2 linked regions of the Arabidopsis thaliana genome follow. The protein of the gene in region 1 interacts with the protein of each later gene in a pairwise test. Each region holds a gene or a part of one and is shown in the gene's direction. Other genes may lie near its edges.

The links. The genes of interacting proteins can lie anywhere in the genome.
Region 2: the proteins of ZAT (region 1) and ABCA12 interact in a protein complementation assay, tested with the Arabidopsis thaliana proteins (one large-scale study listed by BioGRID).

What each region holds. Positions count from the first base shown.
Region 1 is NC_003071.7:19,233,690-19,240,101, forward strand, and holds ZAT (zinc transporter), read left to right. Parts: upstream 1-1,684; 5' UTR 1,685-1,970; intron 1,971-3,481; exon of another isoform or gene 3,482-3,603; 5' UTR 3,604-4,343; intron 4,344-4,438; coding exon 4,439-5,635; 3' UTR 5,636-5,888; downstream 5,889-6,412. Other genes in the region: PRR9 (pseudo-response regulator 9), read left to right, coding at 1-68, 229-500, 585-1,020, 1,114-1,212; AT2G46810 (basic helix-loop-helix (bHLH) DNA-binding superfamily protein), read left to right, coding at 6,005-6,076. UniProt on the Arabidopsis thaliana protein: Mediates zinc accumulation in roots and confers resistance to zinc. Involved in sequestration of excess zinc in the cytoplasm into vacuoles to maintain zinc homeostasis. Can also transport cadmium with a low efficiency.
Region 2 is NC_003076.8:24,791,850-24,798,467, forward strand, and holds ABCA12 (ABC2 homolog 16), read left to right. Parts: upstream 1-2,014; coding exon 2,015-2,086; intron 2,087-2,172; coding exon 2,173-2,583; intron 2,584-2,682; coding exon 2,683-2,815; intron 2,816-2,989; coding exon 2,990-3,109; intron 3,110-3,198; coding exon 3,199-3,326; intron 3,327-3,407; coding exon 3,408-3,566; intron 3,567-3,649; coding exon 3,650-3,938; intron 3,939-4,034; coding exon 4,035-4,118; intron 4,119-4,201; coding exon 4,202-4,539; intron 4,540-4,624; coding exon 4,625-4,825; intron 4,826-4,902; coding exon 4,903-5,012; intron 5,013-5,100; coding exon 5,101-5,185; coding exon of another isoform or gene 5,186-5,245; exon of another isoform or gene 5,246-5,295; coding exon 5,296-5,424; intron 5,425-5,509; coding exon 5,510-5,615; coding exon of another isoform or gene 5,616-5,656; exon of another isoform or gene 5,657-5,706; coding exon 5,707-6,095; downstream 6,096-6,618. Other genes in the region: ABCA11 (ABC2 homolog 15), read right to left, coding at 1-48, 128-328, 422-517, 605-1,198, 1,270-1,638.

The sequences.
Region 1 (6,412 bases):
ACCTTGAAGATACTGATGAAACTTGTGAAGATTCCAGATATCATTCAGATCAAGGAAGTGGTGCTCAGGTATAATAAATATTACCATCTGAGTTTTACATAATATATGTTCTGGTCCTTCTGAATTGTGTTTTGTATGAGTTGTGAGATTTTCATCTTGAGATTGCATTGTATATCTCATGTTTATCTCATTTTAGTAGAAGCTAATATCGTGTACATGCTTATGCAGGCTATCAATTACAATGGTCACAATAAGCTGATGGAGAATGGCAAATCAGTGGATGAAAGAGACGAGTTTAAGGAAACTTTTGATGTGACAATGGATTTGATTGGTGGAATTGACAAGCGTCCTGATAGTATTTATAAAGACAAGAGTCGAGATGAGTGTGTTGGTCCTGAGCTTGGACTTTCTCTGAAAAGATCTTGCTCTGTAAGTTTTGAGAACCAAGATGAAAGCAAGCATCAAAAGCTTAGCCTCTCTGATGCGTCGGCCTTCTCAAGGTATGCATGTTTCCTTGCTTGAATAAAGAATGCCTCAAATCTTGTAATTAGTGTTTTTAATCAATAACTCTACTTAACTTGCAGATTTGAGGAAAGCAAGTCAGCAGAAAAAGCCGTCGTTGCTTTAGAGGAGAGTACTTCAGGTGAGCCAAAGACACCAACCGAATCACATGAAAAGTTAAGAAAAGTAACATCTGATCAAGGAAGCGCCACAACGAGCAGCAACCAGGAGAATATCGGATCATCAAGCGTAAGCTTCCGTAACCAAGTTCTTCAGTCCACAGTAACGAATCAGAAGCAAGATTCACCCATACCGGTAGAATCAAATCGCGAGAAAGCAGCTAGCAAGGAAGTAGAAGCTGGTTCTCAAAGCACCAATGAGGGGATTGCTGGACAAAGCAGTAGCACAGAGAAACCAAAGGAAGAAGAAAGTGCGAAACAACGTTGGAGTAGAAGCCAGAGAGAAGCTGCATTGATGAAGTTCCGGTTGAAGAGGAAAGATCGATGCTTTGACAAAAAGGTAAGAGACACACAAGCTTCATCATAAAAACAGCATCTGAAACAAATACAAGATCAAACTGATTCAATGGAGATGTATAAAAATGGATTACAGGTTCGGTACCAGAGCAGGAAGAAGCTAGCAGAACAACGTCCTCGAGTGAAAGGCCAGTTCGTGCGAACCGTGAATTCAGACGCGTCTACAAAATCATGAAGAGCTCTTTCAGTTTTTCCTCTGATTTCTTTTGTTGATTTTATAACAGAAACTTATTTAGCTTTTGCAATCTTTAGTGTGCTTTTTTTTTTTATGTATTTGATTGGCTTCTTCTTCTCAGCTAATATGAGATACTGGGGCAACTTTTGTATATATGTCTGCAAATGATCAGGCTAAGCTAAAACAGTAATTCCAATTTCGTTAAGTTGAGAAATATTTCTTGTTGTGATCATATCCAGGCCGCTTCTCTCTCGATACATACCAACAAGAAACAGATTCTATAAAACTTGATTTATATACCATTGCTATAGTCTATGTATTAAAACTCATCACATTAATTCTCTCACAGTCAGAGAAACAAAAAAAGGAAACAAAAGCTATCGAAAGAAAAATCAACAAAGAAATCTTTTTTTGTGACCGTTAAACTAAGATTTTGTGACCGTTAATTGTGATTATCAGTTTCCTTTTCTTTGCTTATAAATAAATAATTAGTGAGAGTCTCAACGCTTCTTCTAAAACATTCGACAAATCAAAACTCTCTATCTCTCGCTTCTTCTTATTCTTCAACCCTAGTTCTCTTCTCAAGACAATTTTGTCTTCAAAGAGGAGACTACAAAGAGGAGGATATAGCCAAGAGAGGGGAGAGCTTTATGGTGGTGGATGATGTCACGAGAGGGCTACCAAAGACCGACGGGCTCAAATCTGACTTTGGAATGGGCTTTGCTCTATGGGCCCTTTTTGCTACTAAATCCAACAAGGTATTACTTTTTTCATTCTTTTTTTTTTTGTTTTATTTACCTTCAAAATTATTTTTAAGTAAAACTAATTAGTTTCACCATAACATTTATATAACTAAAATGTTTATATATTTTCATTAGTTTAAGTGTAAAATGTTTTTACACCTATATTTTATTATAACTTTAGATTTTTTTTATATAGATAAGTGTTAAATTTTTAAATTTTGTGTAAACTAATTGGATACATCATCCAAACCCCTAGGAGGTGTGCCAGGTTCAATATATGGTTTACACATTATTTAACTTTTTAACACTTGTTTTGCTTTTATTAAAAATGTTTTTAAACTTACATATTTTCATATTACTATTAAATCTTTAAGGTATTTTTATTTGGATAAGTGTTAAATTTTTAAATTTTGTGTAATCTAATTGGATACATCATCCAAACCCCTAAGAGGTGTTCTAGGTTTAATATATAGTTTACACATTATTCAACTTTTTAACACTTGTTTTGCTTTCGTTAAAAATATTTTTAAACTTATATATTTTCATATTACTATTAAATCTTTAGGTTTTTTTTTATTTGGATAAGTGTTAAATTTTTAATTTTTGTGTAAACTAATTGGATACATCATCCAAACCCCTAAAAACTGTTCTAGATTCAATATATGGTTTACACATTATTTAACTTTTTAACACTTGTTTTGCTTTTATTAAAAATGCTTTTAAACTTATATTTTTATACTACTATTAGATCTTTAAGGTTTTAAGGTTTCATTTATAGGTTTAATATATGGTTTACATATTATTTAAGTTTTTAACACTTGTTTTTCATTTATTAAAAAATGTTTTTAGACTTATATTTTTACATTACTATTAAACCTTTAATGTTTTTTTGGGATAATTTTTTTTTTTTAATTTTGTGTAATCTAATTGAATACAAGATTCAAACATGTAGGTGGTGTTTTAGGTTTAATATGGTTTACAAATTATTTAGGTATTGAACACTTGTTTAAAAAAATAAAATTAAATCTTAGTTTAAGTGGTAAATTTTAAACACGTTGAAAACTAATTGCGCCTAAGCATCTCGTACTTAGTTGGTCCGTAAGTTTTGGTGTTCGAAGTTTGGAAAGTTTTCACGTAATTTAACACTTAAACTTTAAAAAATCAGTTCATTTAAAACTTTTTGAAAATTAGTTTAAATGGTAAATTTTAATCACGTTGAAACTAACCGCACATAGATATCTCATATTTAGTTGATCCGTAAGCTTTGGTGTTTGTAATACTTATAATTAGTTTTTGAAAAATGTTGATTGTTTTTACTAAATTTAAGAAATTAATTCACTAAAACTTTTTAAGAACTAGTTTAAGTGATAAAGTTTAAATATGTCAAAACTAACCGTACATAAACATCATATCCTTAGTTAATCTATAAAGTTTGGTATTCGAAGTTTTCACATAACTAAATTTTAAATTATGTTTTGGAATTTTTCTTCTTAGTCAATTCAATAAACCCTCAAAAGTGAAAACCCAATCATTTTGCTAAACCGCTTCTGCGAACCAATATATGAAACCGATTAAAAAAGCCACTAGATTGATTGGTTTAAATTAAAAATTTCACCGGTTTGACAAGATACCCAATCATTATACACAGGTAAAAAAAAAGCAAAAAAAAAAAAGACAGCAAAAATTACGGACCATAAAAAACGGCCACGTGTTCATCATGTTCACCGTCAACGAAAGAGATTCCGATTAAGAGAGATGTCGAAGGAGATAAGAGAGAAAGGGGACCCAAAAAAAGGGTTAGGTGGATCTCTCATGAAATCGGTGGAGCTCCCCCATATCTTTTTTAAATAGCTTTCTTCTTTTGGCCCCTTACCCAGAGATAGATTCTTATATACTACTGAGAATCTTCAATTTCTGCAACTTTTGTATCTCTTCCTGGTGAGCCCTTCTCTTCCTCTCGCCACTTTTTTAGGGTTCGGGTTTTCTTTAAAATCTGACCTTTTTGCTTGCCTCTGTTTTTATTATTCGTGTTAGGGTTTGTTGTTTTTTCACTTTCTGACTCTGCCATCTGGAATTTATCTGATTGGGACACTTTGATTCTGTTTATACAAACAGTAGTTTTATTTACTGAGGGGTCAAACTTGAATCTGTATTTTAGGGTTTTGACTCTTTGTGTTATTATATGGTGTGAAAGCGTTGACACTGTTTGTTTGCTTGACGAGTTCCTCCTTTTTGTAGCAGTAGTGGGAATGTGGTGGGATACATGTCTTTGTCCTTTGATTTGATATTTCTGGATAAATTTGCTTTCTTTTTTGTTGAAACAGATCACCAAATAAGAAAACTCTTGTGGTTCTATTGAATTGGGTTTCCACTATCTTTATTGTAGAGGTAACTTTATTTTGTGTTTGTTGGTATTGAGTTCTGTACATCCATCAGGATTTTCGTTGTTGTCTGAGCTTTCTTCTATTTTTTTTCTTATGCAGATGGAGTCTTCAAGTCCCCACCATAGTCACATTGTTGAGGTTAATGTTGGAAAATCTGATGAAGAGAGAATAATTGTGGCGAGTAAAGTCTGTGGAGAAGCACCATGTGGGTTTTCAGATTCTAAGAATGCTTCCGGGGATGCTCACGAACGCTCTGCTTCTATGCGGAAGCTTTGTATCGCCGTCGTGCTGTGTCTAGTGTTCATGAGTGTTGAAGTTGTTGGTGGGATTAAAGCCAATAGTTTAGCTATATTAACCGATGCAGCTCATTTGCTCTCTGACGTTGCTGCCTTTGCTATCTCCCTCTTCTCATTGTGGGCTGCTGGCTGGGAAGCGACTCCTAGGCAGACTTACGGGTTCTTCAGGATTGAGATTTTGGGTGCTCTTGTATCTATCCAGCTCATTTGGTTGCTCACGGGTATTCTGGTTTATGAAGCGATTATCAGAATTGTTACAGAGACCAGTGAGGTTAATGGATTCCTCATGTTTCTGGTTGCTGCCTTTGGTCTAGTGGTGAACATCATAATGGCTGTTCTGCTAGGGCATGATCATGGTCACAGTCATGGACATGGGCATGGCCACGGCCATGACCATCACAATCATAGCCATGGGGTGACTGTTACCACTCATCACCATCATCACGATCATGAACATGGCCATAGTCATGGTCATGGAGAGGACAAGCATCATGCTCATGGGGATGTTACTGAGCAATTGTTGGACAAATCGAAGACTCAAGTCGCAGCAAAAGAGAAAAGAAAGAGAAACATCAATCTCCAAGGAGCTTATCTGCATGTCCTTGGGGATTCCATCCAGAGTGTTGGTGTTATGATTGGAGGAGCTATCATTTGGTACAATCCGGAATGGAAGATAGTGGATCTGATCTGCACACTTGCCTTTTCGGTTATTGTCCTAGGAACAACCATCAACATGATTCGCAACATTCTAGAAGTATTGATGGAGAGTACACCCAGAGAGATTGACGCCACAAAGCTCGAAAAGGGTTTGCTCGAAATGGAAGAAGTGGTGGCTGTTCATGAGCTCCACATATGGGCTATCACAGTGGGAAAAGTGCTATTGGCTTGCCATGTCAATATCAGACCAGAAGCAGATGCAGATATGGTGCTCAACAAGGTAATTGATTACATCCGCAGGGAGTACAACATTAGTCATGTCACGATACAAATCGAGCGCTAAAAGCTAAGTAAGATCTGATGAAGGGTTTTTGTATCAGCATTCTCATTAACAATAAAATCAATAAAGTTTCTACATTTTTCACTTTCTCGTGTTCCTCTGCTTTGGTTTATATTGGTATAGTTATATACTTATATGTCGTCATCGTTTGGTTGAGCACAAGTAAGCACTATTCCTCTTCAAGGAAGAAACTTTTTGTCCTTGTTTCAAAAAGGGTGAAAGGACACAACTGCTTAGAACAGATACGTCATTCTTAGGTCTGCCTTCATTTAAGATTCATTATCTTCCTAGGAGTCACAGGGACTTGTGATTGTGTTAGAAACAGAATCTGACTGATTGTTAGGGGTTTAATTGATATGTCACAAGTGGACCATGTTTGTCCTGAGAGTAAGTAACCAGAGCTTTAAGTTACATCAGCAAGTACAATGTAAAGATGAAATCTTCGTAAGTCATTCTTAAAAAAACTATGTAAAAGTTGACTCTTTTTTTTACTTGGTAGGCGGTTCTGGTTCTCTTATTACACAGTAGTATGAACGAGATCTCTAGATTGCAGACAACTTAATTCGTGTTTTCTGGCAAGTTTTTGTGTTGGATCTTGTTTTGGCTGTGTTAGACTTACCACGTGAGATAAACAGAGGCCACAATTGAGAGAACATGGATAAGGTTTCTTCTTGTGAGCTTATTAAGATCGAATCTGTGTTCTTGTTTGTCAACAAAGAGGTTAAAATTTCGGATTTGATCGATAACAAAATGTACTTCTTTGGAATCCTGTAAATATTA
Region 2 (6,618 bases), on another chromosome or scaffold:
AACAAACCAGAATAGGAATGTCCCAAGGAGCCACTGGTAGATAATGTTCTACCAAAATTTAAAATACTTGTTAGAGAATGCTATTAGACAACGTAACTAGTAAAATTTATTTTGAATGTCTGCATACAATAGAAATTACGCAAGTCGCTTGGCCCCCTTCACATACGGCTCTATTACTCCAACTGATTCCAGAGCTTTTGGGAGTTGAGGTTGCATCAAGAAGAAGCTTAAGTCCCGCAGAAAAAGTGTTGGGTGGAAAAAGAGACCACATCACCCGGCGAGAAACTGCATATGAGCTGGAATAAGGGAATCCAGTAGCTGATACAAACTGCAATTAGAATTGTAACCAAGTAAGATATTAAAGATTTTGATCAAGAACCAGTTTATTAATTACTATTTTTAGCTAGACAAGTTATCATACCTGTGTTATAAAACCAATCAAAAACACAAGGAAACCGACAGTTGTTGCCGAAGATGATTTGCTAATGATAGATGATAGCGCAAATGCTAGGCCAATCTAGCAACACAAGTAAATTGATAACTTAAAAACTAGGGATAATACATTAAAAAAAAAAACTAATTAGAAAAAATGAAGGATTTTTACCATATTAAACTGAAAAAGCAAGAAAAGTAGGAAGACAAGAACAAAACTGTTCTTCAAGAAAAAATCAAAGCGGAATATCATTCCAAAGAGGACCAAGAAAAGTGAGGAGACAAGGGTAAGGATTCCTTCCCAGGTTAGCCATGACAACCAATATGCAGAATCATAAACACCCATCATTGTCATTGCCTGCCGAAGTTTTAGCTCTTTCTCGGTGACCAGGGCACCGAGTTGGAGAACAAAACCAAACATGGAGAAAGCAAGAAAGAACACTGGTCCCATGACTGAGAGTGCAGAGGTAGTTTCAGTTATAATAGCTGGTCTTGCAAATTCCTTAAATCCCAAACCCCAACCAAAATTTGGATCTCCAAGTAAAGACCTTGCGATTTCACGCTCTGCAGCGACTTGAAGAGGAACAAGGAACTTAAACGTAGGATCTTCAGTCTGACCACGTTTACTCTCCGATGAAGAATTTGTTTGAACACCATAGCTGATTACTGAAGCATTCCTTTCCACAAAATGCAAAGCTCCTGGAACTTGCAAGGGATGTGACAGAAGCCATGTATCTACCTCATCAGGCTCCTTGAACGACTGAACCTGAACAACATCGAATCCAACACATTAAATAACCGTAGAAACTTAACCAAGGGAAACCAATGAAGTAATACCTTGTTGGTTGGAATTGGTCTCCCTGGATTGTTAGCCATAATTGCAGAGACGATATCAGTAACGCGGCGACTATTGTTCCCACTCCACACAAAGTCATAGCAAGGAAGCTTCACAAAGAACTTGTCCTCACAAGGAAGAATCGGTGGGGATACCAATAGTGTAGGATCAGTGATATTCTTGTACGCACTCGAGGATGCGTCGCTTGCTTTCATGGCTTCCTCTATACAAAAGATGAGAAGGATGAAGAAGAATGAAGAGAAGATTTGAAGACACGTGGCTCTCTTGTTCCGCCATGAAAGCAATAGATTCTTCCCGAACAACGCCGTGAACTGCTGGTAGAGAAGCGGCAAGCCTTCTTGCAAAATCATTATCAAGTTTTTTAAAAAAAAATCTTTCTTTTTCGAAGTAAATTGTTTGTCTTAGAAAAAAAAAAAGCAAAATTTTAATCTATAAAGTTCCCACACACCCCACAAAAAAAGGATTGACCAATATTAATTAGAAAGAAAATAAAAACTATCCAGCTTTTGTCCAATTTTTTCGATTGACTACATTTCATCCCCATCTTGAAAAATGTGTAAAATTGAGACCTCGCATATTTTTCGCATTTAATTGGAGACCACATATATATATTTGGCACTTAAAACAAGCGCAAGTTTAAAGGAAGAAACGATTACTTAAATTGGCAAGGGAAAAAAAAAAGAGACGACAAAGTGCGACTACCTAAGCTTCTTTCTTTCTTCATCAATGGTGAATCCTAGCCCAGCAAGTTTTTGGACGCAAGCCAATGCGTTACTTAGGAAGAACTTAACCTACCAGGTATGTTTTCATATTGCCGTTTCCGGCAAGTTACTTAGAATATTTTTTTTTATAACGATCTAATTGCCTGAACCCTGAAATGGCAGAGGAAACACATATGGACGAATGTTCGACTCATCCTGGTTCCACTCTTCCTCTGTTTAATTCTGCTGGCGATTCAACAAGTGCTTGATGCCTTGATGAAGGGTGTCTCTGATATGTCTAATTGTGGAGGCAACGTTACTTTGCCTGGTGGTATCTGTCCCATCCCAAACCCTCCATCGTTGCCTCCGATGTTGCAGATTCCACAACATGAACTCCGTTCCGTTAAGACCGATTTCTTTTCCTACAAAGATCTCCCTGACAAGTTATGCAGAGAAACAGGTTCTTGTCCCGTAACGATACTTTTCACTGGTGATAAACTGCCCCTTGGAAAAGCTTTATCCGCAAATATCTTCAGCACTTCTTTTGTGGTTAATTCCTCCGACCTCTTGCCTACTTTAGCCAATAACGTTTTGGTATCTCTCTCCATCTATCTCTGAGTGCAGTTGCATTGCATGATTCTCTTATCTCTCAACCACTTCTTTTACTCGAGCGAGAGATGATATGACTTTCAGGGTTCAACAGAAGCAGCGGGGGAAGACAATTATGAAGATCCGGGGATTGCCTCAGATCTTCCTATTTACAGTATCCAACCTTCGTGCAGTGCAAACTCTACATGGCCACTCTCGCTCGGACAAATTCAGACAGGTAATTTTTTTATTGTTTTTTGTGAATCACTAAGTGGTTCTTTAGTGATTCTGGGCATATCCTCTGAGACATGTTTTGACATGGATCTAGACGTAAGAAATGCGTTTTTTTTTTTTTGTTGTTTTTATAAATCATTTTGATGATCGTTTGTGTCTATATTATTAATTATCTCAGCCGTGAAGTGTGTTCAAGGGTTGTGTCTCTGGAGAAATAACTCTGTAGAGGTCAATGATGAGCTTTTCAAGGGTAGTTGGAGGGGAAATCCTGCGGGGATGCCAAATGAGATCGTTGCAGGTTTGTTAAAATCTTCCATTAGTTTATATATCCTTGGTGGTTACGTTATTATGCCATTTATATTATGTCTGCCTTTTTCGTTTCGTTAGCATATGATCTCATGAGCACGGATAGGAAAAATTTCAATGTGACCATATGGTATAACTCAACCTACAATGATGAGTTTGCAACTGGTCAGGCTTTAAAGCTGGTCCGAGTTCCCCGCTCTATTAATCTGGTAACAAATATATATGGTGATCATGTACTCTCAGACATGGTTGCATTTCGCCTTCGATTTCATATTTATCTCGTGCTGCAGATATCAAATGCTTATCTTAAGTTTCTAAAAGGCCCTGGGACAAGGATATTATTTGAGTTTCTCAAAGAAGTTCCTAAAGAAGAAACTAAAATGAATCAAGACATTGCGTCCTTGCTTGGGCCACTTTTCTTCACTTGGGTTGTTCTTCTTTTGTTCCCCGTAAGTTCTCTTACACGCTAGTTAATTTGCATCCCCATTATATTGTACGTTTAATAAATAAGAAATCTTGCATGCAAATGCAGGTAATCTTGACATCATTGGTGTATGAGAAACAAGAACGTCTAAGAATTATAATGAAAATGCACGGGCTAGGCGATGGTCCATATTGGATGATTTCCTATGCCTATTTTCTCACCATATCTATGTTGTATGTTATTTCTTTGGTGGGCTTCGGGTCTGCTATAGGACTCAAGTATTTCCGGCGCAATGACTACAGCATCCAGTTTGTTTTCTATTTCATCTACTCAAATCTACAAATCTCCCTCGCTTTTCTAGTCTCTTCGATATTCTCAAAGGTTAAGACTGTAACAGGTATACCACATTTCCTGAATATTCCACTGCTCAAGAACATGTCAGAGTTGAAATTTGAATGGATTTCTCTGTTTTATGGCTTAATTAATATTGTAGTCATTGCTTACATACTGGTGTACGGAACCGGGCTCTTGGGTAGCTTTCTTTTCCAAAAAATGATTGAAACTCAGTCATTCCCCGGTAATTTAGTCAACAACTTGACAAACAAACAAAAATCAAAGATGCTCATGTTTATTTACTATACAATGTATGTACGTTTGCAGAAGAATGGATTCTTGCCATGGAGTTGTATCCCGGCTTTTCTCTATACCGCGGGTTGTATGAGTTCTCGCAATATGCATCCCGAGGAAACGGGATGAAGTGGCAAGATCTCAGTGATAGCGGAATGGGTGAAGTTTTCTGTATCATGTCAGTAGAGTGGTTTCTTGCTCTCATAGTAGCCTACTATATCGATCAGGTTTTCACATCCGGAAAGCATCCTTTCTTTTTCTTGGTGAACCTTTTCAAAAGTCCTTCTTCCCTACCAAGGAGGCCTACTGTGCAAAGGTTGGATTCTAAAAGAGTATTCATAGATATGGACAAACATGATGTCACTCAAGAGGTATGGGAGAAGTCAAGTTTTTTCTTTGCCATTCCATTTTTCCATATTTCAAAGCCCTCATGATAACAAAGAAAATAATAATCAGAGGGAATCAGTTCAAAAATTGAGGAATGAAGGTAGCACAGGGCATGCCATCTTGTGTGACAACTTGAAAAAGGTTTATCCAGGTAGAGATGGTAACCCGCCAAAAATGGCCGTAAGAGGGTTGTATCTCAGTGTGTCTTCAGGAGAATGCTTCGGCATGCTTGGACCTAATGGTGCCGGCAAAACTTCCTTCATCAGTATGGTCAGTTTTGCAAACAAATGTTGTTTTCAGAGTGTCAAATTTAGTAATCTACTGCTGTGTTTTCTTTGCTGCACTAGATGACAGGACTCCTCAAACCGTCATCTGGAACAGCTTTGGTTCAGGGTTTGGACATATGCAAGGATATGAACAAAGTATACACGAGCATGGGCGTATGCCCGCAGCACGAGTAAATCCTCTAAATGATTTTTGAATTTTTTTACTACCAAGCAAATAATGAACAACTTTTTGAAAAAATGTTATTCTCTTGGTTTCAGCTTGCTTTGGGAGACGCTAACAGGAAGGGAACATCTTCTCTTTTACGGTCGACTTAAAAATATCAAGGGCTCTGATCTTACACAAGTATATATGTTTACCACCTGGCTAATTTTTATTTTATTTTATATGTGTTGTTATTCTTGAAGACAATAACAAGAATATATATATATATATATATATATGATCATTTCAAGGCTGTTGAAGAATCTCTCAAAAGTGTCAGCCTTTACGATGGAGGAGTTGGCGACAAACCTGCTGGTAATTATAGTGGAGGTATGAAAAGGAGGCTTAGCGTGGCCATATCGCTTATCGGGAACCCCAAGGTACATACATTCTTGTTAGTCGAGTGATTTTGTCTAGCAATAGCTCATGATAATTATTAACAAACTCAAGGTCTCTCTAAAATAGGTGGTTTATTTAGATGAGCCAAGCACAGGACTTGATCCAGCCTCGAGAAAGAATTTATGGAATGTGATCAAGCGTGCAAAACAAAACACAGCAATAATTCTCACAAGTATACATATATTAGTTTCTCCACTTACGGAATGTGATTGAGTATGCCTCCTAAATTATACTTAATATTAACGTTAAGACAAGATTTTCAGCTCATTCCATGGAAGAAGCCGAATTTCTATGCGACAGATTAGGAATTTTTGTCGACGGAGGCTTGCAATGCATAGGAAACTCCAAGGAACTGAAGAGCAGGTACGGTGGATCATATGTCTTCACAATGACAACATCTTCAAAACATGAGGAAGAGGTAGAGAGATTGGTTGAATCTGTCTCTCCCAACGCCAAGAAGATATATCACCTTGCTGGTACTCAGAAATTTGAGCTCCCAAAGCAAGAGGTTCGAATTGCTGAGGTGTTTCGCGCTGTTGAAAAGGCCAAAGCCAACTTCACAGTCTTTGCATGGGGGCTCGCCGACACAACGCTCGAAGATGTCTTTATCAAAGTCGCTAGAACTGCTCAAGCCTTCATTTCTTTGTCTTAAAAGCTATTTTTTACAGTTATAGGGTTCTCTTTCTTGGGTCAAAATTCTATGTCTTGAAACACACGCAAACTTACCACCATCTTGAGTCTCCTTGTGATTGCTGCTATGAGAATCAAAGAAGCTTCTGAGATCCCAGAACCATATGTGTTATTACTTTGGAGAATGGGGAAACAGATGATAAAAGCTTAAAGAAGAAAAAGATAAGGTTTGCGACATTTGCCACTGGGATTGTTCACGGCCTGCAACCGGATGCTATATCTGATGATGGTACAAATTTTGTCACCTAAAGACGTTACTAGGAATTCTGTTCTTGTTGCTGCTTTTATTCATTAATTATTGCTTCATGTAAATCTTGTCGTTGCAAGATCTTTGTTCTTGTATGTTGGACAATGCCAATGTGCTACTATCGCTGAGTGAATTATACAAGGACACAGTACACTGATTATGAAGATTCTTAGAGACAATCTTACTTTGTGGATCATTCGTAAGCATCAACACAATATACATTGATCATTAATTGTTC